3 linked regions of the Elephas maximus indicus genome follow. The protein of the gene in region 2 purifies or fractionates together with the protein of the main gene of each other region. This does not show direct contact. Links are inferred from orthologs where the notes say so. Each region holds a gene or a part of one and is shown on either strand. Other genes may lie near its edges.

The links.
Region 1: the proteins of EEF1A2 (region 2) and EEF1G purify together in Homo sapiens (affinity purification with mass spectrometry; 4 studies listed by BioGRID and IntAct, counting the BioPlex papers as one, with this or other methods). This does not show direct contact. The link is inferred for Elephas maximus indicus from reciprocal best matches to the Homo sapiens genes EEF1A2 and EEF1G.
Region 3: the proteins of EEF1A2 (region 2) and VARS1 purify together in Homo sapiens (co-immunoprecipitation; 3 studies listed by BioGRID and IntAct, counting the BioPlex papers as one, with this or other methods). This does not show direct contact. The link is inferred for Elephas maximus indicus from reciprocal best matches to the Homo sapiens genes EEF1A2 and VARS1.

What each region holds. Positions count from the first base shown.
Region 1 is NC_064825.1:125,753,855-125,764,039, reverse strand, and holds the start of EEF1G (elongation factor 1-gamma), read left to right. Parts: upstream 1-6,097; 5' UTR 6,098-6,193; coding exon 6,194-6,205; intron 6,206-7,309; coding exon 7,310-7,468; intron 7,469-8,115; coding exon 8,116-8,179; intron 8,180-8,337; coding exon 8,338-8,480; intron 8,481-9,008; coding exon 9,009-9,152; intron 9,153-10,185. Other genes in the region: TUT1 (speckle targeted PIP5K1A-regulated poly(A) polymerase), read left to right, coding at 1,312-1,781, 2,388-2,497, 2,657-2,767, 2,912-3,004, 3,615-4,750. UniProt on the Homo sapiens protein: Probably plays a role in anchoring the complex to other cellular components.
Region 2 is NC_064843.1:4,533,451-4,544,154, forward strand, and holds the start of EEF1A2 (elongation factor 1-alpha 2), read left to right. Parts: upstream 1-6,183; 5' UTR 6,184-6,434; intron 6,435-7,704; 5' UTR 7,705-7,787; coding exon 7,788-7,931; intron 7,932-9,504; coding exon 9,505-9,684; intron 9,685-10,356; coding exon 10,357-10,653; intron 10,654-10,704. UniProt on the Homo sapiens protein: Translation elongation factor that catalyzes the GTP-dependent binding of aminoacyl-tRNA (aa-tRNA) to the A-site of ribosomes during the elongation phase of protein synthesis.
Region 3 is NC_064819.1:93,307,948-93,318,912, forward strand, and holds the start of VARS1 (valine--tRNA ligase), read right to left. Parts: upstream 4,476-10,965; 5' UTR 4,245-4,475; intron 4,006-4,244; 5' UTR 3,972-4,005; coding exon 3,585-3,971; intron 2,503-3,584; exon of another isoform or gene 2,279-2,502; intron 1,585-2,278; coding exon 1,450-1,584; intron 1,347-1,449; coding exon 1,208-1,346; intron 973-1,207; coding exon 851-972; intron 764-850; coding exon 676-763; intron 431-675; coding exon 330-430; intron 194-329; coding exon 66-193; intron 1-65. Other genes in the region: U6 snRNA-associated Sm-like protein LSm2, read right to left, coding at 6,256-6,381, 6,533-6,592, 6,709-6,739, 10,673-10,740. UniProt on the Homo sapiens protein: Catalyzes the attachment of valine to tRNA(Val).

The sequences.
Region 1 (10,185 bases), on a different chromosome or scaffold from region 2:
TGGTACGTATAGCATAATCTTATTTTGGTAAAATGATATATAAAAAGATGCAATAAGGTGAATTTTGGATTGTGTTTTTTTGCTTCTCTGTATTTTCTGTCATACATAGCTTCTGTTTTTGTAATACCAAACCAAGTCAAACCCATTGTCACTGAGTGGATTCCTACTCATGGCAACCCTATAGGACAGAGTAGAACTGTCCCATGGGGTTTCTAAGGCTGTAGTTTTTACGGAAGGAGCCCCGGTAGTGCAGTGGTTAAGTGTCTGGCTGCTAACCGAGACGTTGGCGGTTTGAACCCACCAGCAGCTCCTCTGGAGAAATATGTGGCAGTCTGCTTCCATAAGGATTTACAGCCCTGGAAACCCTATGGGCCAGTTTTACTCTATCCTATAGGGTTGCTGTGAGTTGGAATCAACTTGGCAGCAGTAAATTTTGGGTTAATCTTTACAGAAGCAGACTGCCATATCCTTTTCCCACAGAGGGGCTGGTAGGTTCACACCGCCGACCTTTCAGTAGTTATCAGCGGAACATTTAACCACTGTGCCATCAGGGCTCCTGTTTTTATAATAGCAAAGGGTTATTTATTTTTTTAACACGTCTCTTCATTCTTTCTCTACACACGCACACACGATTTATATTTTCTGAACCATTAGAAGGTAGGCTGTACACTGTGCGCCTTTACCCCTTAATATTCTAGCGCACATTACCTAAGAGGAGCCCTGGTGGCACAGTGGTTAAGAGCTCAGCTGCTAACCAAAAGGTCAGCAGTTTGAATTCACCAGGTACACCTTGGAAACCCTATGGGACAGCTCCACTCTGTAGTATAGGGTCACTGAGTTGGAATCAACTCGACAGCAACAGGTTTTTTTTTTTTGGTTATTACCAAAGAACAAAAGTATTCTGGTGCATAACCACGATACGATTATCAAATTGAGGAAATTTTAACACTGGTACAAGACTTTAACCTCCAGTCCATATTCTGATTTGTTAGCTGTGTCTACGGTGGACTGTCGTAGTGTCTCTTCAGTCATCTTTGATCTGGTATAGTTCCTCTGCCCGTTATTGTTTTTTGTGACAATGATATTTTTGAAGAATACAGGCCATTTACTTTATGTAATTACACGGCTACTTTTATTTTTAAAAAAGGATTGCTGTGAGGATTGAATGAGTTAATAGATGCGAAGCCCTTAGAATAGACCCTAACATGTAACAAGCTGCAGATATTAGATATTGTCATTTTGGGGACAAGAATGTTCCCCCAGTTAGGGGACAGCAGCAGAGGCATTCACTTGGCTCTTTTCTGCCCACAGCCAGCCCCAAAGCCTCCAGAGTCTCCATCCTTGGACTCGGCCCTTGCTTCCCCACTGGATCCTCAAGCCCTGGCTTGCATCTCAGCCTCCCCTCCAGGCTCACAGCCTCCATCTTCTCCCCAAGACTCTGAAGCCCTGGACTTTGAAACCCCATCCTCCTCCCTGGCGCCCCAGACTCCGGACTCGGCTTTGGCCTCTGAGACCCTGGCTTCCCCCCAGTCCCTGCCTCCAGCCTCTCCCCTACAGGAAGACAGGGGAGAGGGGGACCTGGGGAAGTCTCTGGAACTAGCAGAGGCCTTGAAGGGGGAGAAAGCAGAGGGGGGAGCAATGCTGGAGCTGGTGGGATCTATTCTTCGGGGCTGTGTGCCTGGGGTGTACCGAGTCCAAACTGTGCCCTCTGCCCGACGCCCTGTGGTCAAATTCTGCCATCGGCCCTCAGGTCTCCACGGTGACATCTCCCTCAGTAACCGGTATCTTTCTTGGGGAGCGGTGGTGGTGGTTGGGAAAGGCTAGCTGAGAATTCCAGGGTAGGAGGAGGGAGTCCTGGTCTGAGAAGCTCCTGTACCTTCCGAGCCCTGAGATTATTCTTGTATGGTCTCATCCCTCTTTCTGCCTCTCATTTCCTTGTCTGGTTTCTATTTTATGTTCTTGAAGTGTGTTCCTGGGGATACTATTTTTAAGGGATGTGGAAAAGGATTTCATGGTTAAATACATTTGGAAAGTGCTAAATTAAATGAGTTTTGTTTTTTCTCTTTCCCCTTTCCCTCTTTCTCTTTCCTCCCTTTCTCCTTCCCTTCCCATCTCTGTTTTTTTGCATACTGAAGGCTCTGAGCAGTTTTATAACCTGCTCTGAATGTTCCAGACTGGTATATAGGATGTTATGTTTCCTAAACTCATTTGATTTCCTTTTGCACACCCTCTCACAAGACCAGTGTTTTGGTACCCACTTTGGGAAACCCCCTCTGGCCTGCTTACTCCACTTGGCCCTGGTTATACAAGTCAGGAATGAGAGCAGGGGGAGCTGGTAGCTCAGAGGGGTCTTGAGCCCTGACACCATCGTCCTCCTTTCATCCCAGGCTGGCTCTGCATAATTCCCGCTTCCTGAGTCTTTGCTCCGAGCTGGATGGGCGAGTCCGGCCCCTTGTGTACACCCTCCGCTGCTGGGCTCAGGGTCGGGGCCTGTCAGGTAAGGATGAATCAGGACGGACTTAAGGCTGAGTTGGTGTCAGGACCAAGGATATCAGGGAGAGAAGGGGGCAGGTATAAGAACTGGTGTGGAGAAAACTGCTATAAAAGAGGTCGGGAGCCTCTCTAATCTAACTGGAATTACTGATTATTCACTCAGGGAGCGGCCCCCTTCTCAATAACTACGCCTTGACCTTGCTGGTGATCTATTTCCTTCAGACCAGAGACCCTCCTGTGTTGCCCACTGTGTCCCAGCTCACCCAGAAAGCAGGTACAACAGTTTGGCCTTCACTGCTCCGCCATCATACTTAGACACACTGAGCTAATGAGGTCTCTTCTTATCCCTCCCTCCCCCTTCGCTTCTCCCCACACAGTCCCGTTTCCTGGCTGAACTGCACCTTTCTTATTCTCACAGGTGAGGGAGAACAGGTGGAGGTTGATGGCTGGGATTGTAGTTTCCCCCGAGATGCTTCGAGACTGGAGCCCAGCACCAATGTGGAGCCCCTCAGTAAGTTCTGGGAGCCTGGGAGACAACCAGTGATTTTATTAATCACAATAGTAGGTAACATTACCGTATGTCTACTGTGTGCCACGCATGGTTCTCCATGGGATGGTGAATATTGTTATTGTCATTTATGGACAAAGAAACAAAGCCTTGGGGCAGCCAAGTGGCTTGCCCGAGGCTACACTGCTAGCCAGAGGAGGGAGTAGCCTCTGGGGAAGGGTGTTGCTGAGGGCACAGAGAGAGGGGCTTGACCTCTTGTATAGAGGGAGCAGAGAAGTCTAGCTTCTTGACATTCTCCTGAGCTCCTTGGAAGAGAGACACTACTGCTAAGGAAATGGCTCTGGTGTAAGACCTGTCTCCAACAGTCTCAGTTCTGGCCTGTACCTGTTGCTGTCAAGTCGACTGCAACTATAGTGACCCTATAGGACAGAGAACTATCCTATAGGGTTTCCAAGGCTATAATTTTTATGGAAACAGACTGCCACATCTTTCTCCTACAGAGCAGCTAGTGGGTTCAAACTGCTTGGTTAGCAGCCTGTTTAACCACTGTGCCACCAGGGCTCCTTTCTGGCCTATAAGTGACCCTTTTTCTCCAATCTTCCTTCTCCTGCAGGTTCCCTGCTAGCCCAGTTCTTCTCCTGTGTCTCTTGCTGGGATCTTCGGGGCTCACTGCTTTCTCTGCGGGAGGGCCAGGCATTGCCTGTGGCAGGAGGCCTGCCCTCTAATCTCTGGGGGGGCCTGCGCCTTGGCCCCCTGAATCTCCAGGACCCGTTTGACCTGAGTCATAACGTGGCAGCCAATGTGACCTGCCGGGTAGCTGGGCGGCTACAGAACTGCTGCCGAGCAGCAGCCAATTACTGCCGAAGCCTCCAGTACCAGCACCGTTCCTCCCGGGGTCGGGACTGGGGGCTGCTCCCTCTTCTGCAGCCCAGCTCCCCTAGCTCCCTGCTATCTGCTACACCCATCCCCTTACCCCTGGCTCCCTTCACCCAGCTCACTGCGGCCCTGGTCCAGTTGTTAAGGGACGCATTGGGGTGCTGTATAGAGCAGGGAACCAAGAGATCGAGGTCAGAGGGAGATGCAGCTGGGGAGTCTCCCCAGGGAGGGACAAGCAAAAGACTGAAACGAGATGGACGGACGCAGAGCTGTGAGGAGGGGAGGGAAGAGCAGCAGGAATGTGCAGGGGGCCACGGTGAAGACGGGGTGGAAGAAATGGTCATAGAGGTTGGTGAGACGGTGCAGGACTGGGCAATGCAGAGTCCTGGGCACCCAGGGGAGCTGTCCTTGACAACCAGAGAGCACCTAGTCACTGGAGAAGGGGGCCAACCAGACCAGGTAGCCTTGGCAGAGCAGGGACCCAAGGGACCTGATGCAGCCCAAGAAGGGTCACAGGGTGAGACAGGCAAGGGGGCGGCACTCTCCTCGGTGAGCTGGCGCTGTGCCTTGTGGCACCGAGTGTGGCAGGGGCGGCGGCGTGCCCGGAGACGCTTACAGCAGCAAACCAAGGAAGGCAGTGCTGGAACAGAGTGGCTGAAGACTGAGGCTCAGGTGACCCAGGAGCTGAGAGGACTGAGTGGCGGTGAACAGAGGCCAGGGGCTGAGCCCCTCCTGACCTTTGTGGCGTCCGCCTCCCAGGCAGACCAGTCTCTCACTGTGACCCCGCTCCAGGATTCCCAAGGCCTGTTCCCTGAGCTACACCATTTCTTACAGGTTTTCCTCCCTCAAGCACTTAAACATCTCCTCAAGTGAAGACATACACACTAAAGGGCAATAAAGCTGCTAGTTTACTACAAATGGTCTCCAGTTTAATTTCCACCTGGTAGTAATCCTCCACCTTCCACCAATACATCTCCTTTCCTCCTTCCCCTCCCCCAGACCTTACCCACCCACTCATCCACCGCGGTCCAGTCGATTCCGACTCATAACTCATAAGGACCCTATAGGACAGAGTTAGAACTGCCCCACAGAGTTTCCAAGGAGCGTCTGGCGGATTTGAACTGCTGACCTCTTGGTTAGCAGTGGTAGCACTTAACCACTAGCCACCAGGGTTTCCCCGCCAGACCTTAGCTGCTGCCTTCTCAGAGGGGCCTCTTCTGACTACCCTGTCTAAAAGAGTTCTGTTATTCTCCACCTCGGAGCCTTTTTATTTCCTTCATACCATTTATCACGGCTGGCAGGGAGAGCCAAGGCAGTTGTGGTGCCTGGGCCTTGAGTTCCTGAGTGATGGCGTGGTCGGCGAGTTGAACAGTACTTGGGAGAAGAACCAAATTTGCCTCAACATTTCTTCTGCTGCCCCAAAGATTTATGAGTGGTGACAGGGCCCACGATTCGGGCTCAGGGTTCTTCTTTCTCTCCTTTAAGAGTTCATCTGGCTCTTAAATTGGGTAGAGGATCTTCAAATCGGTGAAGGGCAACCCACCAGTATGTTAATTACCTTAAATCATTAGCCGCCTAGGGTCGGAGGCCAGCCTCCCGATAGGACGTGGCAGGGATATGGCTGCACCCTCCCTTCTGCCCCTTCCATGTCGCGGGCCAGAGTACTAAAAAAACTAGCGCCGTTTATTTTCGCAGTAACAGCATCCCAGAGCTGCAAGGTGGTTTAAAGGGAGCAAACCTCACTTTTACAGGCGGTTTCAGACTTGGGCCCCTGTTGAGGTAGACGTCCCTTTCTAGCAACGAAGGGAGTTTGGCAAACTACTACCTCCGCACAGCAGCTATTTCTCTGCTTTGTCATACATTCATGGTTTGGGGGTTTCGCAGAACCCCCATCAAGCCCCTTCTCCCCGGATCTGCAGGGAGACGCCTCTGCGCCCCGGCGCAGCGCCTGCTGACAGCTCTGCCACGTAGTCGGGAAGGGGCGTCTTTTCCAGCAGTTTCTCACTGTTTCCCCTCCCTGGGCGCCGTCCCCCTCCACGGGGGGACCCGCATTGGCCACACCAGTGGGGCGGACCAGCCAAGAAAGTCCCAATGCGCAGGCGCCGGCTTTACCGCGCCGGCCCGCGAGCCCCACCCCCTTTCTGCCAATTCAGCCGCAGCTGGGTTTCGAACTGTCGTGCGTATGCCTTCTATGCCGTCCTCGCTTTCCGGCTGCTGTTTCTCCACGGCTCTCCCCTTTCCCCCCTCCTTTTTCCCCGTGGCGGCTTGCTTTGCGGCAGCGCCGAGAACCCCACCCCCTCTCTCTGCGGAATCACCATGGCGGCTGGGGTAAGTTTGCCGGCTCTGGGAAGCGAGGTGACCTTATCCACCTCCATCCTCTGCCCGAGTGGGGTCAGTGGGCGCCCAGAGGAGTTCCAGAGCCTAGTGGGGTGCTGATCTGGGGTCTGAGGTCTAGAGACATGACTGCTGGAGAGCAGGGCTTCCGGAGCCCCGAGGGGAACTGAGGCTGGGGTTCACGGAGGCCAGAGGTGGAAGGGTCGGGGGTAAAGCAGAAGAGATGTCGAGTCCGGGCTTCCTGGGGCCTTGAAAGGGGGTTCGGGTTCATTGCCACCTCGAGATATGGGAGCCCAGCAGGCTGACGGAACTTCGGCGACCGTTTTGTGGGGCAGCAGCAGCGGACAGGGTAAAGAGGAGGGTCTTTGTGGGCACATTCGGCTGGCCACGGTTAAGGGTCGCTTCAGGGGGGGTTGGGAACGAAAGAAGTCCCCGGACTGTGGAGTCAGGCCAGTTGGACTCCGCTGTCCAGGATAGTGAAGGAGGAAAGTCAGCACCAGAGAACTCACTGCGGGACAGGAGGGGTGGTATGCGTGACAAGGTAAAAGGCTCTTTAGGGAGACGAGTTGGTTGGGGAAGAGGGGGCGCCATTTGGTGTCTCCGTGGCAGTTCTGAGGGGAATTATTTCCACATCTGTTGGTGGGGTGTGTGTTCTTTAGAGACGAGGGTGATGGTTATGAAGGAGAGACTGGCTCAGCTGTAGAGTAGGCAGGCGCTCCGCACCCTTCAATGAATGAAAGAAGGGCTCTGGGAAGGGAGGGGTGCTGTGGTTGTCGGCAGATGGAGTCAGAGTGAGCTACAAGCTCTGGGTTTCTTGGAGATATATTTGGGGGAAGAGAATGCATGTAGAGGTGTCCTTAGGAAAGGTCAGATCTGTCAACAAGCTTTATTTAGCAGTTAGTGTGTAGTTCTGTTCTTGGAATTTCCAGGGACTCTGATTACATATGGCAGGTACTAAAGAATTTGGTTCACCAGCGGGAGTAAAAGAGTGAACTGAACAGATGGCAGTTACTCACAGGGGGGTAATTCTGGGGGGTGGCATTTAGGACTGGGACCCTCAACTCCAATTATTTTATCCTCCCCTTCTTTCTTGCACAGACCCTGTACACATATCCTGAAAACTGGAGGGCCTTCAAGGCCCTCATCGCTGCTCAGTACAGCGGGGCTCAGGTCCGCGTGCTCTCCGCACCACCCCACTTCCACTTTGGCCAAACCAACCGCACCCCTGAATTTCTCCGCAAATTTCCTGCCGGCAAGGTGAGTAGGGAAGTGGAGAGAGGTGGGCCTTTGGCCCTGAGAGCCCACAGAGCCCTAGAATCCCATTGCTCTGGAGGAAGTTTCCATCCTTAAAAGGAAGCTTCCTGTGTTTTTTTTTTTCGCATTTCAGTGACTTAAATATTATTATGAGATAATTGCAGACTTAACATGGAGTTGTAAGAAATAATACAGAGATATCTAGTGATTTTTTTTTTTAATAAAATGCACAGATTTATTTGTGTCTGTAGGAAGAAGCATGCATTTTGACCAAGTGTTTTCAGTGTGAATAGATCAAGTATCTGCTCTGAGGTGGGTCCCTGCCCCAGGGGGCCTACAGAGATAATGTAAATTATCCTGCTAAAGGAAAATAGCTCAAGTGCTCTGGGTAGCAGCATAACGAGGGGTGTAGACTTAGATGTCAGACTTGGGGTATCTAGTCTTTTGCTTGTAATCTTATTGAGGGGTTTTATACAAATACTTGATAATATTCAAATTGTTTGGATTCACTAGTTCAGATACTGAGAGTTTGGGTGGCAGGGGTTGTCAGCTGTATATAAAAAAATTTATCCAAAACGATTCAGTCCCTGGAACAGGCTAGTGAAGATCCCTGTGTATTTTACTTCATCTTTTGACTGCTTTGTCCTCAGGTTCCAGCATTTGAGGGTGACGATGGATTCTGTGTGTTTGAGAGCAATGCCATTGCCTACTATGGTAATGTGCAGGGCAGTGCGGGAATGGGAGGGTCTGGAGATGAGGGGTGTGGAAGTAGAGGGTGAGGGTGAGCTGGAGTGGACAAGAAGATTCTTAGGGGCCTGGACTGGAGTTGGCATGGCCCCAGTGTTCCTGACCTTTGTGTCCTGTCTCTGCAGTGAGCAATGAGGAACTGCGGGGAAGTACTCCAGAGGCAGCAGCCCAGGTGGTGCAGTGGGTGAGCTTTGCTGACAGCGACATAGTCCCTCCAGCCAGTACCTGGGTGTTCCCCACCTTGGGCATCATGCACCACAACAAGCAGGTGAGCCTCGGGACTTAGGCAGAAGCCAGGGGCTCCAGAGTGTCAGAGAGTAAAAGAAAAAAGATTGAGAAAAGGTGATGCCCAAAGAATATCTGGGTAATGAGAAGAGCTAATTTTTGGGGTGTAATTTGGCACAATGGGCTGTTGAGGTACCTGAGTTCTTGGTTAGATAGACCCACTGAAGGGATTGTCATGAGTAGTCAGGGGAGAATTTCTGCTGTAGGAAGATTATACCAAACAGTATAGGAGGTGGTTTGACCAGATGGCCTCTAAGTTCCTTCTAAATTCCAAGATCCATAACTACAATCGATACAGTGGGAAGTGAAGCCAGACTGCACCATGAAGAAATTTAACACTGAGAGCTTCATTGGCGATACGTTTGGAATGACCCTAGACTCTGATTCCATTGAGAGAGGGTGGGGGTGATCCAGGACTCAGTAAGTGAAATAACTACCTTAGTTTAGTTTTAGCAGTGTGTGGAGGGGGAAAGGGATTGGCACCAACTAGCTGATGATTTAAATTCAATAGGCCACAGAGAATGCCAAGGAGGAGGTGAGGCGAATTCTGGGGCTGCTGGATGCTCACTTGAAAACGAGGACTTTCCTGGTGGGAGAACGTGTCACCCTGGCTGACATCACAGTTGTCTGCACCCTGTTGTGGCTCTACAAACAGGTGAAGTATATTAAAAAATCCAGTTGGCAGAGGGTAGGTAGAGATTAGGAACGAAGTGACAAGTCTTCCAGGTTATTCTGGGTTCTGCTGTGGACATGGGTGTCAGGGAGTCTGACAGCTAGCCTGTAGGACAGTTGGAATCCCAGGATTCAGTCCTAGAACTGTGCTTTTCTCTGCCTTTCCTGAGAAGTTTGATGTTCTGTTCGCTTAGTTTTCACGTGGCAGCTAAGATGTTTAGTTTGTTGACATATTTCCTGGGAAGGCCAGTTGTGGTGTTTAGGTAGGGGTAGTAGCTTTTTTTTTCTTCTTTTTTAAGTAGCTTCAGCATCAAGATCTTTTGGAGGTCTAGGTTTAGATCTTGGTTGCGTCACTTACTAGTTACAGGGTTGTATGTGTTTTTTAATTCTTTTAGTCTTTTTTTTTTTTTTTACCCCTGAAGTGTATAAAACCAGAGTAATAGTTATCCCTCTGGAGGGCGTCAGTTAAAGGGGATAAGGGGTTGCTTGTTTTCTTAGACTGATGCTCGTCCAGAATAATAATGCAACGATAGCATAGAAAAGATTGCTTGGAACGCAGTGGTTAAGCACTCGACTGCTAACTGAAAGGTTGGTGGTTTGAACCGACCAGCCGCTCTGGAAGAAAGATGTGACAGTCTGCTTCTGTAAAAATTACAGCCTTGGAAACCCTACGGGGCAGTTCTGCCTTGTGCTGAGGGTCTCTTAGGGACCATCTTAGTGAGTCTTTACCTCCTGTGTGGGTGAGGAGAGATGTAACCTGCCCGGGGACACAGAGCTAGCATGTGGTGGGGTAAAACTTGAACTCAAGCACTGCAGAACCAGCACTTCCAATTGCTCTGTTGTCTGTCTCAGTGGCAAATTTTTTTTCCTCTGATCTCAGCAAAATAAAAAATGACTGCTGGGAGTTCTTCACGAAGCTAAGTTTAATTTAAATGATGGTTCATTACTTTTGAAATTGTTAGATTTTTTTTTCTGCTGTTGAATGTTCTTTACTTTTTGAAGTTTGATAATAGTGG
Region 2 (10,704 bases):
AGCCAAAGAGGGGGTGCTGTGTCTCCCCAAACAGCTCCATGGAAGAGGGCTGAGGAGGTGGAGCCTGTGCCTCTCTGCCCACCCTGTGCCCCAGAAAGTGCCTCGTGAGGCTCTCCTAGCCTGGTGTCCCCCCACCCCTCCCCTAGCTGCCTCAGGGATCACTGTGACCAGTGACTCAGAGGGAGGGAAGGAGGTGTCATCAAGGGGGCCAAGGCCCCACCCAGCAGCTGCCCAGGAGCCCAGGCCATGGCCATGGTGGGACCCTGGCTTGTGTCTGGAAGTGGTGCCTGCCTGGCTCAGGCCTCCCAGCTGCCCACTCCAAGCTCTGCTCCCCACTTGCTGTGAAGTCTAGCAGGGGGCACTTAACCTCTCTCGGCCCAGCTGCCTTACCTGGCTTGGGGTCCTGGCCTGACCTTCGGCCCTGCCCAGCACACGGGGACTCCACGCCTGGTACCTGTGTGGTTGTTATTTAGTGTTCTGAGTGTGTCAGTCTCTAGATGCTCTACCTGGCCCTTGGGAGAAGCCCCCCAAAAGCCCTCGCTGCCTGTCATGCCCCTGCCCCACCATCAGTGGTTTTGCTGGCACCGTGGACGGGACACCCCTGCCATGGGGCCTGGGCCCATCTGGCTCCAGACAGCTGTGCTGGCAGCAGCCACAGGAGGAGGGGCCCAGATGGAACACCCAAGGCACTGGGTGGGAGGGGGTACATCAGGGGAGTTGGGGCAGGGTTCCCAAGTCCCCTACCTTGACCCCTTCCAGCTGGCCCACCCCAGCCTTGGCCAATCACAGTGTCCACAGTGAGCAGTGTTCAGAACTCCGCCTAACCTTCGGACAAGAAGGCATTAAATATTGAGCCCAGGCGGGTGAGGGGTTTGCTGCTGCCAGGGTTTATTTTTAATTCCTGGCTCCTGTTTGGTGGCATCAGCAGTGATCAGAGGTGCTGGTCATCTGAGTGCCCCACCCTGCTCCCCTCCTGCCTGCAGCTGCCTCCCCAGCCCCACCCTGGCCCAGCCCCCAGGGCTCCTACATGCAGACATAGGGGTTTCAATGGGTTCTGGCGCCCTTCCCCGAGAGACCCTCCTTGAGAGCCCTGAGACCCAGGGAGGCCTGGCTGGCCCTGGCCACTGCCCTGGTCCCCTACCCTCCTCACACCTGCCTGCAGGGCTTCCAGCTCCCCTGCAGACAGGGTGGGTGCTGGGTCTCCCAGTCTAGATGGGTTGTTGAGAGAGTGAGGCCCTTGCTCCCACTCACCTCTGGGGACCCTGTCATCTGCCTGGCCTTCTGCTGGACTCTGCAGTCACAGGATGAATACAATGTGTAGAGGAGGTGGCTCCCAGAAGCAGAGACACGTTTGATGAGATGAGACCAGGGCCCATAAGAAAGCCCCGACCTTGTTCTCACCTAGGCACAGCTGCCCTGTCAGACCCCTTGAGCCCATTTTCACTATGACCCTGTCTGCAGTGGCGTTACTAGGGGGCTGTGGAGGCCGTGGACCTCACTGGGTGACACTGTCAGAAGGGGCGACACCAAAACGACTGTCTATAAAATTTTTGTGCAGTTTCAGCAGAGATTTATTGTTTTTTTATAAAAAATCTCTGTAGTTAGTTATAACAACAAAAACATTTTTTGTAAGCCCAGTTTATATGTATCAATATACCTACAAGTCTAAAACTCTACACTAACTTGCTTTTTGAACCTTCTGATGCCCTCTGGCAGGGCTGTCAGAGTTATCCAACGACAGCGACGCTTCAGATCCCACGGTGCCGTCTGCACATGCCACACGCCTGTGCTGTTGTTCTTCTTGCTGCCCGTGTTTATACGGTGGCTGATTTTGTCCAATTTTCTGGTGTTTTAGCTACTTTATTGTGGTAATTAGTGTTTGTGAACCTATATCAGTAATTTTTTTGAGAATGAAGTAGTGTAATTAAGGGAAGAGAAGGAGAAAAATAAAAAAGGCTTTGGCTCAGTTACTGATAATGTTGCACTAATATTGTAATTCAAAGCAGATTTTATAAAACAACTTGATTGTTAGTAATCATATAGCCTAAGAAATCGTATACCTTAGCAATTTACAACTATGCTTATCTATGATTAAAACTGATAACAAACTTACATGTATAACAGTTACTGATTATATAACTTTGATAACTACGTAGAGAAAATGACAGTTGAGAACATGAAATTTAAACATGAAAGAAGTTGAAAACACAAAAGAAGTCGCCTCTGTAACCTGAGAGTGCAAGGGAAGCAGCAAGTCCTCCAGAAGATCCGGCTAATTGACCACGGCGGCTACAGTAAACAACGGATTTTCGATGTAGACAAAACGCCTTGTATTGGAAGAAGGTGCCGTCTAGGACTCTCACAGCCACAGAGGAGGAGTCAATGCCTGGCTTCAAAGCTTCAGAGGACAGGCTGACTCTCTTGTTAGGGCCTAAATGCCATGCTGGGGAAATGCTGTGTTTCTTGATAGATGTTTAGAAATATTAGAAATATTAAGTTCATTTAAAAATTTTTTTTAGTCCTTTTAAAACTTTCTTTAAAAACCTTACTGTCTTGCAAATACATATCTGACTTTAATGGAATTTTCAGGGTTTAAAAAACTAAATGACACATTACAAAGTGAGTTGGCGAAAGGCATTGATTTCGATGAAGTCATTCACACGTTTGCAGCTTTGAAGGCCAGGAAAGGAGAGTTCTGATTTAGTCGAGATGTTTGCTGGGTGCTGAAATGCTTGTGTGTTGGTTCCTGATTATTTCTACGGCATTATTTCAATCATGAGTATGTTCCCATCTGCATTGTCTACAACTTCTACACTATCTGGGCCATTATCAATTATGCAAACCTAATCCATGAATCATCGAACATGATAGTAAAGTTTAATGTTAAAATGAACATAATTTTCATGTAATTCTTAAACATTTTTACTTCAAATTCTGTTTTCTTACCGAATTTCCACTTTAACCACATGAAACTATGTAATGTAAATGCGTTTATGCTGTGCGTGTGACATCGTAATTTAAAGATGAATTTTAATTTTGCTAGTTGTTCCTGTCACTATTACCATTACATTAACTGATACATGGAATTACGATTTACAAACAGCAATAGTACAAAAAACATTAGTAAGGGTTCTGCAAGATCTGGTACGGGAGGAGGTCCATGGGGGGGTGCCAATGAGTTACCGCACTGGGTGACATCAACCCTAGTGATGCCACTGCCTGTCTGCCCCTGTGACCAGACGGCTCCATGACCCTGTCTGCCCTTGTGACCAGACATCTCTATGATCCTGTCTTCCCCTCTGGCCAGACGACTCTATGACCCTGTCTGCCCCTCTGTCCAGATGGCTCTATGACTGTCTGCCCCTGTGACCAGAGGGCTCCATTACCCTGTCTACCCCATGACCAAGCAGCTCTATGCCCCTCTGCCCCTGTGGCCAGACCGCCCTGTTTTTGTCTTGGCACTCAGGGCCCCCTGAGAGACAGCCCATGCTCTTTCCCTCCTCCCCAGGACAGGGATTCCTGCTCAAGCTTGGATACCCCCACTCCAGTTTTTAGAAGCTCTTGCCATAGCTGTTCCTTCTCCTTTGTGCTGAGGGGTCTCTGAGCTGTCCTTGAAGGGTTGGAGAGAAGCTGGGATGGGAGGAGCTAAAGGTCGAGCCCCAGGGCTGGCCAGCCCACACTCCACTGTGCCCACAAGACTGTCCCCAGGGGTGCCAGAGGGCCCACCACAGGGTTTCCTGTGGGAGGGGTGGTGGGCTGGTGCCTTGGCTTCCCCATAAAGACCCTACTAAGTCCAAGTGATCACCTTTCTTCACACACCCCCTCCAGACCTTTGCCAGGAACCCACCAGGGCCACTAGGCCCCAGCTGAGCACCTGCCCTCCTCCAACACCTCCACTGAGCAGACGCCATCTACCTCCTCCCTCCTAAGTCCTGTCCCGGGTTAATGGGTGCTGGTGGGGTGAAGGGTGGACGGCCGTACAACAGAGACCCTGGGTCTGCCGAGGCCCCACAGGAGCAGAACGGGGCCACCCCCGCTAGCATCTCCTGGACGAGCATAGGACAGGGCCAGACGGCGCCAGGCAGGCCCCTTCCCGTAAGAATCCCCAGACACACAGGGGCTGCCAAGGCGCAAGCCTTTTGTCACGATTCTTTTCTTGGGTGGGTTTAGGGTATTGCTGGGGGTCCTTCCAGCCCTGGAATGGGCCAAGAATTTCAAGGCAGGGCCAAGCAGAGCCAATGAGAGCATGGGGTAGGGGCATACTGAGGGGCAGCGTCTGCCCGGCTGTGCAGGACAATGGCCAGAGAAATGGCCTTCACTGCCAGGTCCTGGGCATCCAGCCGCCATCATGGGCTGAGGGTCATGCTGAGGATATTCAGGCAGATGGACTCCAGGGGGCAGGAGAGACAGTCCCACACCACATGGGACCAGTCTCAGTCAACAAAGATGATGATCTTGGCAACATTCCTTCCCGAGTGCCAGCCATCACAGACAGTGTCAAGGTCATGGCAGGGAGGCTCAAAGCTGACCAAGTTGGGGGACAAGTGGGGAACTCCCCAACCATGGACTGTCCCCCCACCAAAGGCCGGCCTGCTGCAGGCTGGGCAGGATGGGCCTCCTGGGACTGCCACCCACAGATGATCCTCCAGGGAGTGGGGTCACAGGCCCCGGGTTGGGTCTGGGGGAAGGTGGAGGACTGGCTACATTGGACCTCACCAGGTGCTGGACACAAGGACCTGGAGGAGTAGGTGCTTCACTCTCCCTGCTTAACCAAGTAGGACCCGGAGGGCGGCAAAGGGTGCTGGGTCCACAGCCAGAGAGGGCACTGGCTGGAGGATTCACAGCTGGCTGTGAGAGGTGGTGTTCTGACTCCTGAGTGCCCACCACGTTCCCTCCTTTCATGAACCCCTTATTCCCACAAGTCGGTGTTCCTGGCCCCCAGGCCCTCACCTCCACTGGCTGAGGCTGCTCCATGGGCTCTGTTTAGTTGCCATCGAAGCCTGTGGGAAGCAGACTGTGCCCCTCAGCAGGGCAGGGTGCCTCCTCTCCCGACTCCTCCCGCACTCAGCTCTGGGCTCGGGGGGCCATCTCAGACCCTTTAGGTTCTTTGCATGAGGTGGACACTCCTCTGAGCAGCTAGGCCAGGCAGCGAGCCCTTCACTTTGAACTTTGAAGTGACAGCTGTGATTTCCCTGGAACTCTGCCACCCCTGTGATTAGGGGTGATCTGCTGTGCTGAGGGCACTCTTAGGGCCTCCCAACTCCTGCCTCTAGGTCAGCAAGCCAGCGTTTTGGGCCAGCTGGGAGCTTGTGCTGGGTCAGGACCCTCACTGGAACTTTCCCCAGGCACCTCCTGCCTCTGGCTTCAGCAGCTGGGGGGCCTATATGCACTGAGTCAGGGTGGAGCCTCGGCCTTGAGGAGCAAGAGGCTGGGCCAGTAACGGAGGCTGAGTCATGGCCCTCAACTCGGTTTGGGACCTGATTTATCAAATCGGCTGATGCTGTTTCCCAGGAACCTGTGCACCCACGAGTGCACATGCCCTTCGCAGATGCCAGCGCATTCTTGGGATGGGTGTTAAGCGCTGGCTGTGCACCTGAGCATCCCCGAACCAAGGGACCCAGGAAACAATGGTTGTTTCCAGGGGCCTCATGGGAACAGATTTGCTGTCCCAGCCTCAGTCCACTTGGCCCACAGAGGTATTCAGAGGCCCCATTCTTGGGCCACACCATGGGGACTAGGTGGGCCAGGCAAGAGGGAAAGGTCCCACCAGAGAGTGCCTGAAGGTAGCTTCATTTGTTCATGGGCATGGACTCTGTGCAGGGCCAGGGCTGGCAGGGGGTTCGTGGGGTCAGGGCAGTGGCCCAGACCCTGGCCTCAGCCCCCTTGGGTCCCAGGCACTGGTTGCTCTTTGGCTCCGAGGGTCCCTCAGACCCTGGAGGAATGGGTCCCACTTGACCTTCCCACAAGCCAGCTCCTGTCCCTGTGGATTTTACTCTCAGCCCTGGGGACCTGTTTTTTATTCTTTGTCTCGTCTTTTCTGCTTTGTCTTCATTGTCTTTGATCTGGGCCCGCCTCCCAGCCCTGGCTGCGTTTCTCTCAGTCTCCTCTGTGTTTCTCTCCATGGCCTGCCCCAGCTCTCCGCCCCGCCTCCGACCCGTTTCCTCTCCCGCCGCGCTCCCTCCGCGCACCCTCGGTGCGTCTGGCTCTCCGCGCCTTTGTGGCTTGCTCTCCCCGCAACCTCCCTCCCGCGCTCGTCCGTGGGCCCGCCGCCCGCATCTGCACCCCGCGCCTGCGCCCCGCCCAGCGTACCGCAGTGCCGTACTGCAGGGGCGCAGTGCACTGCGCCGCACCGTCAATAGGTGGACCCCCTCCCGGAGAGATAAAACCGCCGGCGCCAACGTCGCCAGTCCCTCTGGCTGAGACCGCGGCTCCGGGTAAGGACGATCGGCCTCGAGGGCCCCCATCCGCGCTCCGGCTTCCTGTAGAGGGTCTTCTCCCCGGGGACGGGTCCTGGGGGCAGGCAGGGGCTGGGCCGGGGAGCCTCGCAGGGCTGCGCTGCTTGACTTGCAGACATCCGCTGCCCATCCCAAGCACCCCAACCGGGCACCGCGCTCAGATCCCCGCGGGCAGCGGGTCTGGGGGGACCACGATCGCTTGTTTACTCGGCGGCGGACTATGACAGGGGCTGGTCTCCTGGGCGGAGGCCGCCACCCTGCAGCCATGACCTTGGAAGGGACCGCCCCTGCGTTGCTGGGGCCAGGGTCGTCAGTGCTGGGGGATGGCAGGGGTGGGTGCTGGAGGTGTCCGGGAGACGTAGCTGGGGAGGAGAAGGCGGCCAGCCGGGAACCCGGCCACTCTGCGCCCACCCCTGTGGGCCCCGGCGGTGTCCACCTAGCTATCCACGCCCCAGGGTGCTAGCCATGTGTGCCTCTTCCCCTCCCCCAGGCGCCTGCCCTCTCCTTGGCGGCTGCTTCTCCACTGACCTCAGATGGGGTGGGGGTGGGGGGCAGCCAGGAAGGTGCAGGGCTGATCAAGGCCCCTGACCAGGGTGGGGGGCAGGCTTAACCCTCCCCCGTGCCCACCGGCTGGTGGCATTGGCATCGGCACCTGCTGCGTTTGGCTGCTGGAGCCAGATACTCCTCTGGCCAGAATGGATACCCCCATTCCTGCTGCCTGCCCCCCACCCAGATTCAAAGGAAGGCGGGGCTGTTCTGAGCCCCTAACCCTGACACAGCAGGGTTCCTGTCCAAGCCCCCCCCAAAGCCTGCCTCACCCCCTCATCCCTGGGTGCCAGCGGATGGGCTGGATGGAAGATGGCGCTATCCTTGCTTGGGGAAGGGAGTGAGGAGCGCTGATCATCTTCATGGGGCGGGGGGGCAGTGGGGACAGGGCCTCTGGTGACTCATCAACCAGGCTCCCCGGTGACGCTGGTCGAGCATGGGGCTCACCCAGCCTGGCCTTTCTCTCCACATGGGAGCGAGCCTCCTTTGTCACGGGGCTGGTGTCTTTGGGCAGCGATGCCCAGACACTTCCAGCCTTACAGCCACGGGGTCAAAGGGAGGGGTGGGGGGTATATGGCCCACGTGGCCAGCCAGGCAGGGTCTAACTGGGGCACGGGATGTGGGCAGGGACTGTGCCACCACATGCACCAGGGCGGTGTCTTTTCTGGGCTTTAACCTGAGGCTCCCTGTCCCCCCACTCCAGCCCCATAGAAGCACTGCTCGGCAGCCCCCTCACCCCAAGTCAGAGCGCCCCAGGTTGTGCTGACTCCCCCACACCTGGGCAGAATGGGGAAGGAGAAGACCCACATCAACATTGTGGTCATCGGCCACGTGGACTCAGGCAAGTCCACCACAACTGGCCACCTCATCTACAAATGCGGGGGCATTGACAAGAGGACCATTGAGAAGTTTGAGAAGGAGGCAGCCGAGGTGAGCAGAGGGGGTTCCGTCTCTCCCACCTTCACCCCTGACCCATCTGTCTGGCTCAGGCTACCTCCTCCAGGCCTAGAGGGTGTGAGGCTTGAGGGAACCTTGTCCCAGAAGCTGGAGGTGGGGGGATCTGAGCATGTGCCTGGGTTTGCTCCATGATGGGGGATGTGGCCTGGGCCACGCGTCTGCCTTCCATGGCGTGGGCAGCAGGGCTCAGAATGCTCTGCTCATGGGGCTGGCGGAGCCTTGGGCTCCTGCACCCACAGGGACAAACGGGGCTGGAGGTGGGGCTGCCCTCACTTGACAGGGCACAAGGGCTCTCTGGCTGCTATTAATAGCTGATTGATGGGCAGCGAGCCACCAGCTCCATTTTCTTGGGCAGGACTGGTGGGGGGTGCGCTCGGGAGGTTTTGGCTGCCCTGGAGAGGATGAGGGGCCATTAGCTGGTGGTCCCTCTCACAGAGTGGCTGAGACCTGTGGGTGGGAAGTGGCTGTGTAGTGGAGGGTTCACCACTTTTGGGGGCTGCCCCCCGCCCTGAGCTTGGGAGAAGCTCACATGTGAGAAAGCCTCTGAAGGCTCTCACCGGGTGATAGAGGGGCCCAGGGTGTTGCTGGTCTGGGCTGAGCCCTTGCCCAGGTGCGGTGCTCTGACCTACATGCCTCTGTGGGAGGCCCAAACAGCTGCGTCACTCCTTCCTGTGGCTGCATGGGGAGCAGCAGAGGGTGTTTGGAGGGCATCTATTCTGGCGCACTGGCCCAGGGATCGTCTGGCACCCCCCTTTAGGCTGGGTAGCCTCCCTAGGGGTAGAGGCCTGTCCGCATGAAGGCTGGCAGGGAGCTTGGTGAAGCTGCCCTCCCTGAAGCCCCAGCCCCAGGTGATGGGGAGTCTTGCTCCGCAGACCCCAGGCCCAGGTGTTTGTAGAGCAGAGGGCAGGCCTGGCCTTGTGTCTGGGGAGACCTTCTGAGTCACCTGTGTGGGCAGGGTGGGGTGGGGAGAGCCTCAGAGCTATTTGGGGGCCCTTGCCGGCTGTAGAAAGAGCTGGAAAGCTGGTCCCTTTGGTGTGACCCAGTTCTTTCTTTTTTATTTTTCAATGACACAGAGTGGTTATCCAACAGCCTGAGACACCCTGTGGCATTGTGGACTTCATGGGTGGGGTTCCCAGCAGCCAGGGGAAGGGGTTAATCCCAGCTGGCAGCTCCTCTTAAGACAGGTTCCAGGCCCTCCCGCCACCTACTGGTGGGTGTGGGAAACGGTGCGGCCTGCTGGACACAGCATGGGCAGGGATGGCGAACCTGGGTTAAGTCATGTCTGTGGACGCCGGGCGGGGACATCCCTTGGGGGGTCCCTAAGCTGGCTTTCTTGTTCTGGGGAGCTGGTGTCATGGGGTCCAAGCAGGTGGCAGGGTGAGACTGGAGCCTGTTTTCATGGAGGGAGCCTCTGCTACATAAGCTGCTTCCAGAGCCCCAGAATGGCTCCCATGGCCAGGTGGGGGCAGCTGAGGTGGATGGGAAGTGACTGCAGGCCTGGACCACCCGGCTGGGCCTCTGAATGCCCCTGCCCTGCTCCCTCCAGATGGGGAAAGGTTCCTTCAAGTATGCCTGGGTGCTGGACAAGCTGAAGGCAGAGCGTGAGCGTGGCATCACCATTGACATCTCCCTGTGGAAGTTCGAGACCACCAAGTACTACATCACCATCATTGACGCCCCGGGCCACCGCGACTTCATCAAGAACATGATCACCGGCACATCCCAGGTGGGCAGGGGGCCGTGTGGGGCAGCAAGGGCAGAGCCACCACAGCCCCCTGGGGGGTCCTGGAGTCCTCTGGGGACAGCTAGGTCTCCTCCACACCACTGAGCACTGAGCAGTCAGCTGCTCCAGCCCACCCGGCACCGAGCCCCCAAAGAACTGATGAAGTGCTGTAGTGTCTCAGCCAGGCATGGATAGACAGAAGGACAAACAGACCTGGAAGCCAGCTGCCATCAGGGCATAGGTACAGGGTGGACAGAGATGGATAGCCCCTTCACAGACAGATGGACATAGAGATGGGGGCACCCATGCAGGCAGACAGACACAGGCACCTCACAGACAGATGGACACAGGCACCCAGACCTGACCCATGTAGGAGGCAGGATGAGAACCAGCAACAGTCACCTGCGTTTCCTTGGGGTGTTGGGATCTCCAAAGTGCTTGTACAACTAAAACCATCTTTTGTCCTCACGATATCCCTGGGACACTTGTAGCTGGCAGGTGAGGAGGGGACAGGGCTGGAGAGGCTGAGTGACCTGTCAAGAGCCACACAGCCCACTGGCGGCAGAGCTGGGGCAGGGCTGGGTCAGTTGGGGGCCGAGCCTCTGTAGCTGTCCCTGGGTTGGAGTTCCCTGGTCCCTCCCCTGGGCAGCGGCTCACCTGCCCAACCTGCGGCAGGCTGACTGTGCAGTGCTGATCGTGGCTGCGGGCGTGGGAGAGTTCGAGGCCGGCATCTCCAAGAACGGGCAGACACGGGAGCATGCTCTGCTGGCCTACACACTGGGTGTGAAGCAGCTCATCGTGGGTATCAACAAGATGGACTCCACGGAGCCACCCTACAGTGAGAAACGTTATGACGAGATCGTCAAGGAGGTCAGCGCCTACATCAAGAAGATCGGCTACAACCCAGCCACTGTGCCCTTTGTGCCCATCTCCGGCTGGCACGGTGACAACATGCTGGAGCCCTCGCCCAACGTGAGTGCCCAGCAGGGTGGGAATGGGTGGGGACAGCCGAGCCAAATGGGG
Region 3 (10,965 bases), on a different chromosome or scaffold from region 2:
GCCACAGGAGTGGGGAAAGAAAGCAGAAGAGGCCAGCTCAGCTCAGAAAGAGGACAGGAGCTCACCATCGGGTTAGAGAGTCCTGGATGGCGTTGGTGAGCGCATGGCCCAGGTGCAGGGAGCCCGTCACATTGGGGGGTGGAATGCACATCATGAAGACGCCTTGGGGATTTGGTGCTGACACACTGGAACGCTGATGGGGGTGGGGGGATGGGATACATGCTTAGGCCTCATGTGACCTCTCCCCACCTCCTCCCAAGTGATGTGTCCTTCAGCCCTGCCCTTTCCTTCCCCATCCCCTCTAGGCCTGGGTGGCAGTGCCCACTCACCCCATACTCTGGTTTGAAGAAGCCCTGCTGCTCCCACCAAGGGTACCAGGCAGCCTCCACATACTGAGGGCTGTAGGAGTCGGGCATGGTGCCGCTGACATCTGGGGTAGAGGGGAGGTGGGGTCAGTGCCAAGGCTAGGAGGAGCTGGGAAAAGGACAGGCCAGCACAGAAGGAGCTCTGGGCTTCTCGCTCACATCACAAGGCAGTGTTGGGGGTCTGGGGGATCTGCAACCTCACCAAGTAAAGTGGTGGGAATAAGGATGAAGCAAGAAGGGATAAAAGTTTGGGAGGAGCTGCTAAGGAGGGTTGAGGTGAAGGGTGGGTATCCCTTCCCCATCCCAGTACCTTTCTTTTCGCCAGGTGGGGTTGGGATGTCATAGGTAATGACCCCAGGATCCCGTTTCTCCTTCTTCTCTGGTTTGGGTTTCTTCTGCTTAAGAGGAAAAAGACACAGGCCCAGACATTAGTCATCCTTTGCAAGACACTGGCCTTTTTGTCAGCTCTACCCTCAGTCTCTCACCTCCCCTGAAGGTGGCTGCTGTTGGATCTTCTGCTTCTGTTGGAATTTCTCTAGCTTTTCCCGTTTCTTTGCCTCTTTCTTGAGCTGAGCAGCTGTCTTTGGGGGTGCAGGAGCCTCAGGGCCTGGAAAGGGGTACATAAATGCAGACTCAGCCTGAACCTGCTAGGGACCCTCCATGAAGATGATACTATGTTTCACGTGGGCTATTTTAGCTGCCTGAGAGCTCCCCTATACTGATCCTCCCATTGTACCCTCCCCAGACCCCTGCAACCCCCTACCATTTCTGAGAGAAAAGAGGAAGTGAGCTGCATGGAAGGCCCCAGAGACTCCTAATCCTTCACCCCCACCATTTGTCACCTGTCTGTTGGGAGAGGGGCCTGGCCCCTGAGTACAGAACCACCTCTCCCAGCACGGCCCGGAATTCTGGCTGCTGGACACACGTGATAAACCAGCGAGTCACGTTACCCCAGATCCGGCGGGCTGAGGGGTCTAGGACCTGGGATGAGGATGAGGAAGAGGGAAAAGAAATGAGTTACCCTTAGTCACAGTGAGGTCTGAGGGGAGCTGCCCTCATCCTTCCCCAGGCCCCAGTGACTCACGTATCGGAAAGGCAGCAGCAAGGCTGTGACAGCTGCCAGGTCAGCCAGAGTGGGGGCCTCCCCAGCCAGGTAAGTGTGCAGCCGAAGCCACTCCTCCAAGGGGCTCAGGGCCCGGCCCAGGGCCCCTAGTGCGGCCTGGCAGGAAGAGGAAGGGGTGTGAGACAAGGCTTGGCCTGCCTCAGTCCCCACCTGGCTCCCGGAACTCAGTCCATTTGGCTTCCCTCTGCTCCCACAAATCCCAAAGGCCAGTTTCCTCTTCTCTCAAATGTTCATAATAAAAGTGCTTCCTCCCCATTCATTTAACAAACCCCTACCGAACACTTACTACATGCCAAATGCTATTAAGAACAGGTTAGTACGTGAGGTAACAAAGTACTTGCTTCAACAAATATTTATTAAGCACCTACTATGCACCTGGTGAGAAGCCCTGGTGGTACAGTACTTAAGAGCTCGGCTGCTAACCTACAAGTCAGCAGTTCTAACCTAACAGCTGCTCCGTGGCAGAAATATGTGGCAGTTTGCTTCCATAAAGATTACAGCCTTGGAAACTCTGGGGCAATTCTGTTCTGTCCTACAGGGTCACTATGAGTTGGAACTGACTTGATGGCAATGGGTTTGGTTTTTGGTATGTACCTGGCAGAAGTCCCTGGGAGGTACAAACAGTTAATGTGCTTAGCTGCTAACCAAAAGGCTGGCAGTTTAAGTCCACTTAGAGGCACCTCAGAAGATAGGTCTGATGATCTACTTCTAAAAAAATCAACCACTGAAAACCCTATGGATTTTCTCCACTAGTCAGGAAGGACATTGGTGTTAAGTGAGAAAAACCACCATGTCTTCCAGCGTATTGGGGAAACCTCAGATGCAAGGCCTTCTGCTCAGGTGTCTATGAATTCATATCGCTGGAGCACTCATTATGTCCCTGGGGATTGCAGCTCTCTGTAAGTTTGCAGTAGCTGAACCATGGAGGCATCTATGGATTTCTACAGAAATTATGATTCCATGAAGGATTCTGAAGAGATGAGAAAAGCTGGTATGCTTCAGAGTGCAAAGTGATTTGGAATATAAAGAATTTCTTTGGATTGAGTTTCATGGAAGTTGTCACTGGCCTATGTTCCTGAATTATGAAACACGACTCTGTGGGCTAAGGAATAGTTTCTCTTGGTAAATGAACAATTAACAAATGAAAAAAAAAAAAAAAAGAAAATTCTACAGACCAGTTCTACTTTGACACACATGGGGTCGCCTTGAGTCAGAATCACTCCACCGCAACTGGTTTCAGTTTATTTTTTTATGTGCCAGACACTACTCCAGGGTGAGATCAGAATTTGAACAAGTAGGCCAAGTCCTTGACCTGGTAGAGTTTACATTCTAGTGGAGGAGACGATAAATAAGCTAATATATAATGTAGCACCCTATTTAACTGCTATGGAGAAAAACAAAGCAGCGTGAAGGGGCAGGGAGTTCCAGGAGAGGGTGGCTCTCTTTTTTTTAAATACGGTGACCAGGATTTCAAGGAACAAGCCAGGGCCTATGCTACATATCTATCCATTCAGTCAGTCGGTCATTGATGAGATACTAAATACCCACCACATGCTTCATACTCTGATAAGAGCTACAAGGACACTCAGGCACAGCCACACTCTGGAGGCACATTTACAATGTGGTGGAGTGATGCATTGAAGTTAAATCTCCCCTTTTTTCCCCTTAATTTCTTTCCTCATTTCATTTCTCATTCATCTCCTCCTGGCAACTGTTATCTCTCCCCACCCTGCCCAAGCTGCCCAAATCTAATCATCTCTCCCTCACCCGGTCTTTCCCACCATTTCAAAGTAATCCCTATCACTCTCAGTTTCAAACTCATCACTTATTCTGAGCCTTTAAAGAGCAAAACCCTGGGCTATGTGCTCTGCACACATTCTTTCATCTTCTTAACAACTCAAAAGTATTACATCACTTTTGTTTCACAGACACAGTGAAAGCAAGGCTGACAGTTTTAGAAACGTGCTTAGAATAACCATACCAGGTGGGAATTGGGATTTGATCAAATGTTTTCACTCTCTGAGAGAATATTCTCATTATCCATTCCAGTCCTTGCTTCCTTCCTCTGAATCTCCCTGTTCTTTCTCTCCACTCACCTGGGGGTCCTGGGCAGAGCTTCGGAGTCCCAGGGCTGGCAGTGTTGCCCCACAGGCAGCTGGTATGAGCTCCGTGTCGGCATAACTGACCCACTGTTGGACAAGGACTGCTGCCTGGCTACCCCCAGGGCCCCCCAGGCCTGCTGGCCACAGCAGCTGCGCCACAGCTGTGGCCCCCCACACCCAGAGCCCACCTGGCCCTTGCTCCAGGGCGGGCAGGCGGGGTGGGGGAAAGGGAGTCCTGCTGGTCGGGGGGGGCTGAAGACAGATGCGAGGGTGGGCACCCCCCCATCCGGGACCCTCTCCAGCCTCCCCATAGCGGGCGGCTATGAGGGCTCGGAGGCTGGGGAAGGCGTCTGGGTGAGGGGAGACGTAGAGGATGGACATGGCTATTCAGGGACTCCGAACAAGACGGAAAAACCTGAGAAAAAAAGACAGGGTAAAACGAGAGATTCAAGGGGGGTCCTATCCCAGCAGAGGGGACCCTCACGGGGACTCCTCTGCCAGGGCTGGAGGTCTGATGAGGCCTCGGGAGCCGAGGGGCGGCTGTGGGAGCGCCTGGGGCAGAGGGGGGCGGGACTCCCCATGATCACGGTCCTCAGGAGTGTGAGGGGGCTTTCCGCGTCAGCAGGGACGCACGTTCGGGCCGCGTGTACATACTGGAGGGAGGTGGTTAGGCCGGGCTGGCCCGCGGCGGGATGGGCCGGGCGGCCTGGGCCGAGGAGTCGGGCAGGTTGGGGCGGCGGCGGTGGCGGTCTTTCGGGCGATCCTAGTTTCCCTGCGACCGCCTCCCGGGCCGTCGGCACCCACGTGTCCCCCGCCTTTATGACAGAGAGCGTTTCCGGGCCCGCGGATCCTGGCGCGGGCGGCCGCGTCCCGCCTGCACGGGCGGGCTCGGCCCCTGGCCGACGCTGCTCCGGGGTCGAGCCGCCGCCGGGGGCCGCACTCACGAAGAACGGGGAGGGGCGCAGGCACAGCGCGGGAGGGCGTCCCCGGGACCGCCCTGCAGTCAGGCGCCGCCGCGGACACCCTGGCGGGGTCCTCGGAGCTGGCAGTGTGGGTGGTGGGCGGCCGCTAGGCGGGCCCGGGAGGGCGGTGCCCAGCGGGCAGCCGGCGAGTATCATCCTGCTGGAGCTAGACTCTGCCGCACCGATGGGGAGGGGGAGTCCACCCTCCTTCCTGAGCCTCATTTCTTCACGTGTGCGATGATGGCGTCACATTAGGTGGCCTCTGTGGCACTCGGCGGCACTGGGTTAGGTTATGGTCCTTGTAACTGAATTTTCGCCTGTGGCGGGAACTCATTTGCTGAATGAATCAAGAGTTTAGTAATTCCCTGTCATAACTCTATGCAATACAAGTTATGTCCTGTGTTTATTTACCTTCTTAACAGATATTCAGAAAGACTACCGATTTCGCTAGATTGAGAAAGAAACTCAAAACCTATCATGGATTTTGATGTCTCATAGTATTAACTGCCACATAAATGAGAGAGCACAGAAGTGTTAAGGGTACCTGGGAAGTGTGGAACCCCCTTGCAGTAAACAATTTGGCCTTTCGCCCTGGTTCCTGAGAGCCTGGCCAATGAGGCCAATGCGGGGGGGCTGACCAGACAGAGGGAACCTCTGGAAAAAGGATGTACCCTATCATGGCCATGTGGTGAGGTCAATAAAAGGCCTTTTAAGATGTTCACTGGAGCTTCCTGGGACCTCCTGGACCTCGCCCTTGGTGTTTGTATCCTTTTTTCTGCTGAAGATAGCCCGTTCCCTGCAGTTTTTGAGTCGTTTCAACAATTAAAGCACCTAGGAAACAGAAGGGGCCTGTACTTGCTGACCTAGCCCCAGTGACCGGGGACGAGAGACAAAGAGCTGCATGGAACAGCTGGAGTCTGAACTGACCAGGGAAGGGAGCTGAGATTCCCACAGGACGAAGCTGCATGTAGAGTGGGATTTGTTATCCACCACACATTTGACATCAGAGGTGGATAATCTCAGCCTCCCTGGACTGGTTATGACACCACAGTGGCAAAACACTCCAGTTATAGGTACAGTATAAGCAAAAGACCAGGGAGAGAAAATAAGTAGGGGCATATTCAGGAAAACATGGTGTATAAAAAAAAAAAATAGTCCAGGTTATTACACGGTTTATACAAAGGGGAGTAGTGACAGATAATGCTATGTAGTTGGGGTGGGCTCTTGGCTATGGGAGTGGAGAGTAACAGGGCTTGAATGAATCCAGCATCACCTTCCTGCCCCCTGCCCCAAGTCCCTGCCCAAAAAGACATACCACAAAACCACAACTCAAATTTGCATCATGAATTTTATTCCCGATGCGGGACAGATTCCTTCCAGCCCCAAAGAGAATCACACCCTGCCCTAGAAAGATCTAAGAGGCTCTCCTACAATTTCCAGGGAAGGAGTGAGAAAGGCAGGTGCTGGGGACTGGGAAGGCTTTGCAGTTACCCACACTACTTATCCTCCCCTTCTCAACAGAGGAAACCTGCTCCCCACTATTATCCCTCTCATCTGCTCATCGTTAAAAAAAAAAAAAAGCCTCACTATTAAAACTCAACCAGCCAAAAACAAAACAACTCCATGGGTGAGAGGGGCCCTGGGCTGGGATATTAGGTTATGGGTCACCAGTGGAAGAGGGCGGGGAAGCAGAGAAGGAACCATCACTGTTTCTGCTGCAGGGCCTCCTTCCTTGCTGCATCCTGGAGCAACTGTGTGTCAACCTCATCTGCTGGCAACTGCACATAGCGGACCACCGAGCCCCGGATGAAGCAGTTCTTCACTGACAACTATACAAAGACAAACAAATGTGAAAACATCCTTAAAATATCCTCTACCAAAAAAAAAAAACATATCCTCTACCAAAAAAAAAAAAACATATCCTCTACCCACCCTGGGGCCTCCTACTTTTGGAGGTGTTTCTTCACCATCCCTACTCACCATGTGAGGGTATTTCTCAGGGTCTGTGACGCTGATATCAGTTAGTTTGATGTTGAGATACTAAAAAAAAGATGGAATACCATCATTAACCCTAGAGACAAGATGCAAGTATCCAGCCCTTAAGCTCTCCCCTCTCCTTCCCCAAGACCCAATTCTGGGCTCTTGCTATATCTCACCTGATCCACAGAATGGAGTGTTCCACAGATGCTATCAGGGGGTAGAGGGAGAGAAAAACCGAATTAACTTACAGCAAAGTCAACAAACATAGAGGTGACTTCAAAGGTGGGCCAAGAGAGACATCTTTAAGCCCTGGAGTAAGAAAAAGCTTTAAGAATGGTGTATTTTAGACCCCGCATCTTCCCTCTCTAAACCAACCCACTCAAGAGCTACCATTAAACAACTGTTAAACACTAGACCTGTACTGTGCATAGTTATTTGTAATCTTTACAACCACCTTACAAGGTAGCTATTACCATGTGGCACTCAGAGAGCTGTCTAACTTGCCTGACTTTAGAGCAAATAAGCAGGGACTTCAGGTCTGATGCTTGCAGCATGAGCTATTTTCAAACATTTATTGCTTTGGAAGCAGAAGCCCCATATGTAAAGTAGATAAAGGTAGTCAGCATTGCTCTTGAAGATGCAGACATAAAGGGCATCTGTGCTCCCAATCTGTGTTCTTCTTATTAATTGCCATCAAGTCAGCCCCCAACTCACGGCAACCCCATACACAACAAAATGAAATGCTGTCTGGTCCTGTGCCATCCCCATTAACAGATTGCAGGTTGAAACGTCATCACGCATAGGGGTTTTCACTGGCCAATTTTTGGAAGATCACCAGGCCCTTCTTCCTAGTCCATCTTGGTCTGGAAGCTTCACTGAAACATGTTCAGCATCACAGCAGTACACAAGCCTACACTGACAGATAAGTGGTGGCTATGTGTGAAGTGCATTGGCTGGGAACCGAACCTGGGTCTCCCACATGAAAAGCAAAAATTCTTATCGCTCCACCACTGTCCGAAGCCCTCTAAAATGTTAATGGGGAATGCTATATAAACACCAATGCTCAAAGTTATGCTTCCTCTCTCTCTCAACTTTAATTTCTATCAATGGCTTCAACAATTTAGTCCCGTAACTTCAAATCCTGTAAGTTGTACTTCTTCGCTCTCCATGTCCTGTGAATCTTCATCATCTGCTGACTTCTGTTTCTGTAATTCCTTTTCTAGTTGGACTTCTACAAACCTAGGTCTTATTATTTTGAAGCTCGACCCAGGCCAACATCCAACCTGGTTGTGGTTTCTGTTAAACTGATTTTAATGTTTTTATATTTACCTTTTAATATATACAAATTTGCATAGATCAAATATAATTACATTTTATATTGATTAATTTTATTATGGAGACACACAAATGTTATGACTCCCATGTGAACACTGCCCACCCTTACCAGTCCTTCCCTATCAATACCTCCATCCACTCCTCCATATTATTTTGAAGCACCAGTCGCCTTGATTTTAACCATCTTGCATGTCATCCCCAAACTCAAGCTCCTCGGAACTGTGGTTCTCAAACAATGACATGTGCATGTAAAATCTTCAGTAAATACAATATAGAGAATACGTGTATGCGTGTTGTACTTAGGGCTGCCAATAGCTTTTTCCAAAGAACACTGCTCTTTAATTGCCCTTCCTTATTTTTTTGTGGGGGGGGAGGTATTAAAAATGTTTTAAATGAAATGATAGTAATAATGGCAGTTTAAAAAATATCCTGTCAAAAATAAAGTTGGCAACTCTAGGTTGGACTCCCAATTTTTGTAAAATTCTATAAGTCTTTGAAATCCAGTGTCTGAGATTTACTGCCTCAGTGATGTTCTCACCATGTCCCTGGCTGCTCAAAGCCTGTGACTGCTGCACTTCACTGCCTGCAGCAGTGGAAGCAACTTTCAGGAATTGAATCAGGTGGTGTCATTTTATTCAGTCCCTTAAGGAGGAGACACTTGGCGTAAAACTGGTCTGACAACAAGGATGAGGGAAAGAGCTCTTCTCCCAACCAAGGAAACATCTTAGAGTCTTCCAAGTCCTTGCTTTAGGCCCTGGGCTACAACCTAAGTTATTTATCCTTGCCATGATGAAGGCCTAGGAAGGAGAAAAGAGGGAACTCAAAGACAAGTCATCTCACAGAATGGCCTAGGGCTGGTTTTTGTCTTGCTCTACAGCCCCAACCCATATGCCAATTAAAACTGTCTGCATCGCCGGTGGCATGAGTGCCATAAATTGAAATCTCTGGCCTAAAAGGCTAACGCCTTCCAGTTCAGCCCCTCTCCTCACCATTCCCTGCCACATCAATCCTTCTCCCACAAAGAAATAATTTCACATTCTCCTGGGTGGGAGAAACTGTTGGGGAGAGAATACATTAATTCAATCTCTTCCTAAAGTATAATCGGATAATAGTTATAAATACGTTTTACGTATTTATAGAAATAATCAGATGTATACATAAGATGTTCAAGATAGCATCATTTGTAAAAGCAAAGAATCAGAAACAGCCTAAGTGTCTAAAACAGATCTTGGTTAAATACCAAAACCCAAAACTGTTGCCATCGAGTTGATTCCAACTCATAGCGAGCCTGTAGGATAGAGAACTGCCCCACTGGTTTCCGAGGAGCAGCTGGTGGATTCGAACTGCCAAACTTTTGGTTAGGAGCCATAGCTCTTAACTACTGCACCACCAGGGCTCCTGGTTAAATATAGCCATCTAACAAATAATAAAGTACTAGACAGTAGTTAAAAATTTTAAAGGATCAACTTTATTTACACAGAAAAATATCCATAAGTGAAAAGTTTAACAATTACATAGAGAATATGATCCTATTTTTAACAGTTTTTTTTTTTTTTTTAAACTGTTTAACTTTTTTAAAAAGGCACCAGACAGAACTGGATTTCAGTTCTGGCTGTATGGCTTAATTGTGAGGACTCCAGTGAGTTTCTAACCTAAGCTTCAGTTTCCTCAAGTATAAAACAAGAACAATAATATACACCACATAGGGGTGTTGTGAAAATTAAATGAGTTAAAAAAATGCAAAGTACTCAAAACAGTGCCTAGTCCAGAGGAGGCTCTCAAACATTAGCAATTTTTTTTTTCATTCAGCACACATTTATTAAACTCCTACTATATACCAGGTCTATGTGGTGTAGTGGTTAAGAGCTATGGCTGCTAACCAAAAGGTCGGCAGTTCAAATCCACCAGGTGCTCCTCAGAAACTCTATGGGGCAGTTCTACTCCGTCCCGTACCGTCATTATGAGTCAGAATCGACTCGACAGTAGTAAGCTAAATGTGGTCCTGGTCCTGCAGGGAGGACAGGCTCTAAACAGTAAATATATTTCTATGAAATCACAATTTGAGAAGTACCCACTAGGAAGAAAGTAGACTCGATGACAGAAGGGCCTACTTGCCTAGAAGGACCAGGAAGTCTGTCTGAGGACAGAGCACTTAACCAAGTCCTGAAAGATGATTCAGAGCCAATGATACAAGGAGATAAAGGATTTACAAACAGAAGACAATACAGACAAAAGAGACTGCACTGGTCTTGTTAGTCCTCTGTTTTCTTTAGGAAAAGGAAGATTACGCCACACATACTATTTTGCAACAGCTTTCCCATATCAGCACATCTCATTCCTATGGGACAGCCGTATAGTATGGAAATACAACAATTTAATAAACCAATTCTATATTGATAGATTTCAAATTGTTCCCAATTTTTGGCTATTGCAAATAAAGCTACAAGCATCTCTGGACATTCATCTTTCCTTGTGGAATTGATTGTTAAATTTCTAGAAGTTGGGTCAAAGGAACATATGATTTAATCAGAAAAAAATAAAACTGTGTTTGTTTTGGAAAACATTTTATTGACATCTCCACATTCTGACCTCTCTAATACTTACCCTTTAAATTATATATTGCTTTGTATCGTTTTCCCATACACAACTTCCCAGCTAATGCGTAAGCTTAGGGCACAGGTTGGGTCATTTATTTCTTCTGTATCTCTCCCACCTTGCCCAGCCATCAAATACTTATCAAACTAAAAAGGTTCCAGGGCCCTGGGCACACCCACCCGCTGCAGACTTATTGAAATAGATACCTACCTCAGGTCATTTTTTAGTTCCACGACCACATCCTTTCCAACAAGGGACTTGAAAAAGGAATAGAAGAGCTATACGGGGACAAGGGAAAAACCATCACGTGGAGAAAACAGGTAGGGCAAAATGTCCCCCTGCCGGTATTCTCAAATACTGGTATTGGGATCCCCACCACATCCCTGGCAGTTCTAAAAACTCCACAGGAAAGAATACTCGGTTGACAGGCGAAAAGCTGGAGCAGAAATGATTCCGCACATTAGCTAAGTCCCTTACTTGAAGCACCAGAGGGCAGCTCTGTC